Oreochromis niloticus: one gene and its partner. The protein of the gene in region 2 interacts with the protein of the main gene of each other region in a pairwise test. Links are inferred from orthologs where the notes say so. Each region holds a gene or a part of one and is shown on either strand. Other genes may lie near its edges.

What was found. The genes of interacting proteins can lie anywhere in the genome.
Region 1: the proteins of rfx6 (region 2) and calcium-responsive transactivator interact in binary tests that used the Homo sapiens proteins (3 or more experiments, as listed by UniProt). The two-hybrid records come from large-scale screens. The link is inferred for Oreochromis niloticus from reciprocal best matches to the Homo sapiens genes RFX6 and SS18L1.

Annotation. Positions count from the first base shown.
Region 1 is NC_031984.2:13,592,594-13,596,677, forward strand, and holds the start of calcium-responsive transactivator, read left to right. Parts: upstream 1-1,042; 5' UTR 1,043-1,537; coding exon 1,538-1,606; intron 1,607-1,641; exon of another isoform or gene 1,642-1,750; intron 1,751-2,324; coding exon 2,325-2,401; intron 2,402-2,494; coding exon 2,495-2,579; intron 2,580-2,769; coding exon 2,770-2,902; intron 2,903-3,338; coding exon 3,339-3,587; intron 3,588-4,084. Other genes in the region: lsm14b (protein LSM14 homolog B), read left to right, coding at 1-24, 110-233. UniProt on the Homo sapiens protein: Transcriptional activator which is required for calcium-dependent dendritic growth and branching in cortical neurons. Recruits CREB-binding protein (CREBBP) to nuclear bodies.
Region 2 is NC_031980.2:19,731,263-19,735,346, reverse strand, and holds the start of rfx6 (DNA-binding protein RFX6), read right to left. Parts: upstream 2,984-4,084; coding exon 2,850-2,983; intron 131-2,849; coding exon 1-130. Other genes in the region: tdrd15 (tudor domain-containing protein 15), read left to right, coding at 2,935-3,019. UniProt on the Homo sapiens protein: Transcription factor required to direct islet cell differentiation during endocrine pancreas development. Specifically required for the differentiation of 4 of the 5 islet cell types and for the production of insulin.

The DNA.
Region 1 (4,084 bases), on a different chromosome or scaffold from region 2:
CATCTCATCTGATAATGGGCTCAGGTAATCAGCTGACTCCATCTTATATAAAAGATGGTCTTTGTGCAGATATGTGCTCATGGCTATTTATTTACATCAATGGTTTCAGACTGACATGGGCAGAGGAGCGAAAGCGCAATCTGGAGACTTTTGGTGTCCCTGGGCGTTTCCTGAGGGGCCAAGGATTCAGAGGTGGATATGCCAGAAGAGGACGAGGTGCTGCCAGAGTCTAACTCAAAGAAACACAACTGGGCGGCTGTACAGATCAGTTTCATACAAAGGCAGAGTAAAGCCACCTTGAATGATTTAGTACCCTGTTTCTTACAGTGAGTGGAAAGTACTGGATCCCCTGTAAGAATCTTGCCCCCTTTTTTCTTGACAGACCTTTTGAGTTTTAGCACAGTGAAGAAATCACAAGGGCAATAATGAAGGCTGTATTGCATTTGGAAGAGGCGCTATGCTGTGCATGTTGGTTTGCAGTCTGTTTACTGGTATACGTGATGGAACTAAACCATCATTATTACAGCTGTGCTGTAACCAGCCAAAATGTCTGTCATTAAAAAGTTTAACATTATTTCTTTGACATTTGACCTTGTTTTTAATGTGGGTAAAAGTTACTACAAGAGGCTTTTTTTGTTTAAAAGGGGGGAAAAACATGAATGCTTCAGTTTCTACTTTGGTTTGCTACTTGCAGATTTGTAAATTCTTGCATTTGCCTTTTTGGAGTATTAATCAGATTTGTCCATTCAATGTTGCATAGTATTAATATAATGAACTAAACAAGGTTTCAGACTTAAGACTTAATTTGGTATATTCAAGGGAATGAGTTGAATGTAAATAAAATGGATGTGCTGATACACCTGTTATGAGACTAAAAGACATTTTGTTGCACAAGTAAGCATTTAAAAAATTCTTCCGAATTATAAATAATCTGGGATAGTATCTGTGTTCTATGGCTGTTTCTTTGTCCTTTTAAGGAGCACTCCTTTAAACAACGTTAGCAATATATTCAAGATTAGATTATATAAACTGGCAAAAAAAAAAAAAAATTAGTAAATGTCTCACTGAATTACAAGATTACACATTCCCTGATTCAGTGCTGTTGTAAAAATGTGAATGGTGGGATTTCCACATTTCCTGAAATGCTAAAAGCAACTTTGGCTACAGCTGATCCAAGCAGACTGCTTTCTTGAATCAAACGATACCCCGTCTACAGTGAGGGAAAGTGGTAGGCTACTCACTGCCTGGACTATACCAAAATCTGAGGGAGAGGGATTTTTCCCTTACCATCGTATCCTTTTATATGCATGTAATTATTTGCACGCAGATCATAAATATTCGCTTAAGGGAAATCCTCTGTTTAATGCCATCCAGATAAGTCAAGTGTTTTCTAATTTTGCATCTTTCACGACATGGCTCTGGTTTGGTCAGTACCCCTATTCCTGGTAATGGAGAAACTATGTAACCAAATAGAAGGCTGCGCTCGAGATAATAAATATTAGAATAAAAGCGGCTCTTTTATTTCCCATATGACAAAATGTCGGTGGCGTTTTCATCGGCGCGCCCCAGAAGTAAAGGGGAGGTGACACAGCAAACCATTCAAAAGGTAAAAAATCCTAAAACGTCGCGACATTTCTATTTAGATCTTCTAGCATGGGAGTATGTGATCCCCCTCCAGTGCAGAGAAAGTAGCCAGTGGTGAATATCAAAGAAATGGCAACTGGTATTGCAACGTTACAGTCAATTGAAGGTGCGAACCAAACAAAGCCATCGCGGTGATGTAGACGAGCGCTCGGCTTAACGCCGGCTGGATCTCTGCTTTCTTGGTGATGCTGTCTGTCATCCTCGCAGATATTATGAGACGAATGGGAATATTTTAGTGTGAGAAATTGGAAATCCGCTTTATATTTCGTCGCAAGATGGTTAACAAGAATTCTCAAAGCAACAGCTCTGCCCTGGTGTTTAATTAATTAGGCTATAGGTTAAAAGTGAAGGCAGGTGTTACAGTATATGTCCTAGGGCACCGCTTTTATCCTTGATTGAACCGTTTAGCGCGAAAGTAAAACGTAAACCCTATCCTTGAAAGCCAGACTTTCAAACGGCGTCCTAAATAAAGACAGTGAAAAATGAGTTCTTCTTTTGGCTCTGTTATATAAAAAGAAGATGAGAAAGGTGACCCAGAAAAAAAACATTCAAGGGCTGGATAAAGTTCTGAGAATCAAGCACATCACTGTTTTAATAAAGTATTTGTTAGTTAATAATTTACTATACACTTATAGGACTTCAGATACAGTGGAATGAAGTTGTTTTATTATTTTCCAAAGATGCTGGATGAAAATCATCATTTAATACAATGCATAATGGATTACCAAAGCAAAGGCAAGACAGCTGAATGCACACAGTAAGTGTTTTTTTCTTTCCTCCCTGACCGGTACCTGCTAAATATCAAAGTATAGCACAATTAAGACTGGTTTTCTTCTTCTTCTTCCTCCAGGTATCAGCAGATCCTGCACAGAAATCTTGTTTACTTGGCCACAATAGCTGATTCAAATCAGAACATGCAGTCATTACTACCTGCGGTAAGTCTGATTTGTGACTTCAGTAATAGCAACTATCAAATATAAGTATACACTGTGTCCACTGGGAAAATAGAACATTAAAGGAAAACAGAAAATAGATGCATATAAATACAGTGTGAAAAAAATGAACTGCATATCAGTATTTATTTATGACTGCCACTACTTAAATATTACGTCTGTACACCTTTAGCCTCCCACTTCCAGTATGTCTTTGGGTCCTGGAGGGATGGGCCAGAGTGGGGGACATGCTCAAAGCAACCTCAATGACAACATGGGACCAGCACTGCCCGCGACATCAATGATGCAGAGCCAAATGAGTAATGGTGAGAGTTAATTGCATACCTGTGTTTTACAGATAAGCCCTGAATCACTTATTTCAGCCCAAAGATGCCTCCCGATTTTGTTGTCTGTCCAGTGTCTTGCTTGCTCGTCTCATTCTGACTTAGCTGCATGTTTGTCTGCAGACACAGTACCATGTCTTGTCTGCCACAGTGCCCGCACTTCTTTATTGCTTCATTGCCTTCATGTATCTGTGGTTTTAAGTTCAGCCAATGAGTCAGATTGTTTCACAGTTATGTTACTATATTCCCTCTTTTTGTGAAAAAACTATACACACATCCTTAACATGCGTTACTCTAGCTTTGTTCAACCATGCACGTCTCCTGTGAAGATGAACTGAATGTGGGGCCGTGGTTAACATGATATGGCACCACAGGGGAATGTGTGGTGGCTGCTCTGACTGTGCGTGTGTGTTGTCAGGCCCCAGCCATGCCCCCATGCAGCAGCAGTCTGGTCAGGTGCAGTCGGCTATTCCCTCCACCTCCCTCAGCCTGCCAGCAAGCAGCTATGGCAGCTCGGTCCCTGGGTACAGCCACGCTGCACCCTCCTCCCAGGGCAGTATGATCCAGGGCCCTGGGCCTGGTTATGGCTCTTCCTCCTCTTCTTCCTCCACATCCTCATCCTCTTCTTCCTCCTCCCGCAGCAACCTCAACATGCATTCCAACCAAGGTGAGCCAGGTATCGTAAAACCCAGTCATCAAGAATTGGTCTCTAAACCATCATGATCTGATAGTCAGGAGTTACCACCTCTCGAGATGCAAGATGGCATACTTGTTTTTTACTTGTTTATGTGTATTATGCAAGATTTGGCATTTAGAGGATTGGAATGATGATAATAATCTTTTCAAGTTTTCAGGGTGAAATACTGTACATGGTACATCAGTAAAACAGTTGGATGATGACCTCTGAAGCTGTGCCCCTTTCGAGCTTGCATAAAAAATATGCCTGCATGCATATCTTAAACTTTCCTCCTGTGTAACAGACAAATACGAAACACATTCAGTTCATCACTGAGGTGTCCTGCCTCCTTCCTTCTTCCCTTTGCTTCAGGTTTCTCCTAATTTCTGAGATGCACCCCTACTTTCCTTGGATGTCCATGTGTATTTATCGTACTTCTGTTAATGCGCTGACTTTGCTGGCTTTGTTTACACTTAAAGCAGCATCTT
Region 2 (4,084 bases):
CCCACAGTCGTCCTCCTGATGAAAGTGTGTCTGCCCGTTAAAGTCTGAGCATGTTTCCTTTGGCGAGTTGCACAATGTTCTGGTTAAAGAGTGAATAAGAAACACGCCGTCTCTGGTTGAACTTTCACTGCTGCGTTTCATCGGCATTGTGTAAGAAAAAGAAAAGAAGTAAAAGAAAAAAGTGAAGTTAGTCTGCTGTGTGAAAAAATCCTCAGACACCAAATAAATCCTTAAGCGCTGTGTGCTATTCCCTCCATCACACAAGTCCAGAAAGAGATGAGATCGATCAGAGACACCATGTCCAGAGTTTCTCTATCAGGTAAAAAAGTGGTGAAAAACTCCCAGGCTTTCTCTGTGCGATCTCAGTGTAATAAAGCAGCGCTGTGAGAAGGCAGAGCTAATGAAGCCGTGGATGCATTCATCATATTTACAGAAGACTGGGGCTAATCCACTTTATTAATGATTAACAGAAAAACCCTCATCCATCTGTCCATCCATCTACCTTACCTCCCACAGTCAGCTGGCCCTTTATACAGGGTTAAATACACATAAAACATGTGGGTTTAAGTCACACTCATTCAGGTTGCTTCAATTCATCTGATCTTCATTTGTCTGAAAGCTGAATCTTGAAATGAATGTAACTGTGTGGCACTAGCGAGTTTATTTAAAGCTTCTATTCTCAAATAAAAAACAAATCTGCATAAACTTCTAGAGCTGCAGAATATTATTTTTGTTGCTGTATCAGTTGAAGTGTATTTAAGTTTTTTTTATGACCCATTTGTAGGTAAATACAGGTTTTTCCATTAATTAATGCCCTGTACCTAAATACAACAGAACTACCACATGACCATCATTAGTAACATCTGTGTTTACATTTTATTTCATGCTGAAATGGTTGTGGCAGAATAGGTATATTAGTTGCTTTTACATTCCTTTATTTATTTCTGCGTCAATTACAGAACCACAGGCAATAACCCAGACTCAGGAAACACTTAAAGACCGTCAAATTAAAAGCATACATTAGCAAATTTACTGTGAAAACTGAATAGTCGCTTCTTTCTGAAAAACACAACCTCTACAACAACCATGTATCACATGTATATAATCTATATTTACTGGCCACCAAATGTATTGTGCAAAGGTATACCAGATTTTAAGGCAGTATTGCAAACTTAAACTGTGCACGTGATCCAATCTGAGACTTCTAATATTTCAAAACAACTACATTTTCTTTTACAAATTTGTATTTATAAATTGCTGATTATTTTGGGAGATGCAGTTGTACCATATAGAGCAGTTCTTAGTTTGTATGTAAAGTGTAGAGGGTAGCTTAGAAACGCAGCTGAGAACTAAACTGTGAGAATATAGTGGGGAAAAAAAGTGTAAATTACAATCTACTAACAATACAATCACGAATCAATCATATTTTAAAATATCAAAGCCGATAAAAATAACCAAACAACAAAAACAGCTGCAACTATGTAAAATTTGGTAATTTGCTAGATCGTTGCCAAATAATCTTGCTTCATCCTAATCCGTTAATTTATACCACAACACTGACAATAATACAACAAAGGTTAAAAAAACCCATCATGATTAAACACGTCATATTTATTAAATTTATAGTTTTGCTTGTTTTTGTAAGTGTTACTCTAGAAAAATGAAGATATCCTTTAAACTGTTAAGCTTTCAGTCTAAAAGGTATTTTCTTCTTACTTTTTATTGATCTCACTTTTTAAGATGACTTTATTCTTTAGTTACATTGTTTAGTGATGTTCCCACATAGGTAACAATATATATTATATATGTACAGTATATATACTGGTCTACACTGCTTGAGCACTGGAGTAGACACAGTAAGTATGGAACTCGGAGGTCCTCCACCAGCACATATTGACCCTCAGCTATTTCCATAGTTTCTAGTGAATTTTATACCTTTATTCATTTATGATGACAATGCTTGAAATGCTTAGCATGCAGAAGTCATCCAAATAACTGTGGCTATGGATAATGCAAAAATAAACTTGGAGACAACATCATTAGTTACTTCTGTTTATCTGCTCATTGAGACGAATATCTAATCAGCCAGTCACATTGCAGCAACTCAACTCATTTAGGTACAGTATGCAAGAAAGAAAGAAAGTTGATTTCAGTGATTTTGAGTGTGACACGGTTGACGGTTGGTGCCTGACAGGCTGGTCTGAGTATATCAGAAACTGCTGATCTACTGGAATTTGCTCAAACAGACATATCTAGGGTTTACAGAGAATGAATTAAAAGAAAATATTCAGTGAGCGGCAGTTCTCTGGGAGAAAATGACTTGTACATGTAGGAGGTGAGAGGAGATGGATCAGATTGCTGTCAATTGTAACACAGATATCCACTCATTACAGCCAAGGAAGAAGAGCATTCAAAAAACAACTAAAAAACATTCCAAAAAACACACTTATTAAACACACTTATTATGATTTTTGCCCATCTTACTCCTTATTGTAATTATGTTTAGATTTTTATTTACGGAACTCTTTTATTTTATTTGTTGTGTCCTGTTCTTTGTATCCTTCTTTTTTTTTCTAACTCACTGAGTCATTTTATTGAGATTGTCTACTTTATTTAAAATAAGGCCTTTTTAAATCATAGGCTGACCTTCCACATTTTAGGATAAATAAAGTTTTTCTTGTATTATTCATGTAAAAAAGAAGTAGTAGAAGAGCAAAACAAACAAAATAAAACATTACAACATAAATAGTCTCCTCCTGGATTTATTAGGATGGTCACATGTATGCGTTTTAAATACTCGTCGAGATATGTCCCCTCTATTGTTTATATGAGCAAGGAGTTAATGGTACCTGTTGCTTAAAGCATCTCGTACTTCAGGCCGCCATGTTTTTACAGATTTTACCTGGAGCATGAGACAGGCGGCAGCAGCAGGAAATGAGGTCAGCCACGCCACGTGCTCTCGGCTTGGACCGTCCTTACACATCTGAGGCAAGACAGAAGGTAGAAAAACGACTTCAAGGTGAGCCAGGGAACTACAATCACACAGGTGTCACCTGCTGACCAGTAATCTCAGTCATGGAGGGCTCATTAGGGATCACAAACACCACAAAGAAGGCGTTAGACCCAGCTGTGAGGGTAGCTTAGCATAGTTAGCTCTGTGCTACTTCTACTGAAGCTAACTCCTTTTCATGAAACGCTCTGCAGGGTCACTTTCCGTTTACCGAAACGCTTACCCATCCTGCAGGTGTAGGCAAATAACAGTTTGTCAGATTCTGTATTCAATAATTACATTTTTATTAAAGGTTTATTTGCACTACATCGCGAAAATCTAAGCTACCTCGGTATATATGATATTAACCCTCTACAGCAGGGGTGTCGAACTCCAGGCCTCGAGGGCCGGTGTCCTGCAGGTTTTAGATTTCACCCTGTTTCAACACACCTGAATCAAATGATTAGTTCATTACCAGGCCTCTGGAGAACTTTAAGACATGTTGAAGAGGTAATTTAGCCATTTAAATCAGCTGCGTTGGATCAAGGACACATCTAAAACCTGCAGGACACCGGCCCTCGAGGCCTGGAGTTCGACACTTGTGCTCTACAGCATAGCGTTGCCCTGAGGCAACAAACCACATTTTCATGCCTTACACTCGGCCTTCAAAAAAAAAAAACACTTTTTTTTTTTTTTTTCAAATAATGCTACCAGACACATCTCTTTCCAATAAAATGATGAGTTGAAGGTGGTGTGACTTTCATTTGGGGGGGGGAACCACCCTTTCTGCAAGCTGCACTACATGGGAGACATCTCCATTAGGAGGCAAGATAAAGATCACTATTTTACATGTTTATAGTGAAATAAATGTATAATAAAAAATACTTGTATGTGCACGAATATGTTAAGAAGCATATTTGATTGTTCTACTTTTTAAAATTTATTTATACAGTAAAACTGTTATTTTCATTCGTTGCCTCAAGGCAACACTGCGCAGTTAGCCCAATTTTTTTCAGGCAATATAATGCATTTGCATATGTGTGTACAGATGTGTTTGTGTGATGTGTTATATGATCATAGTATAGGTTTTTTACT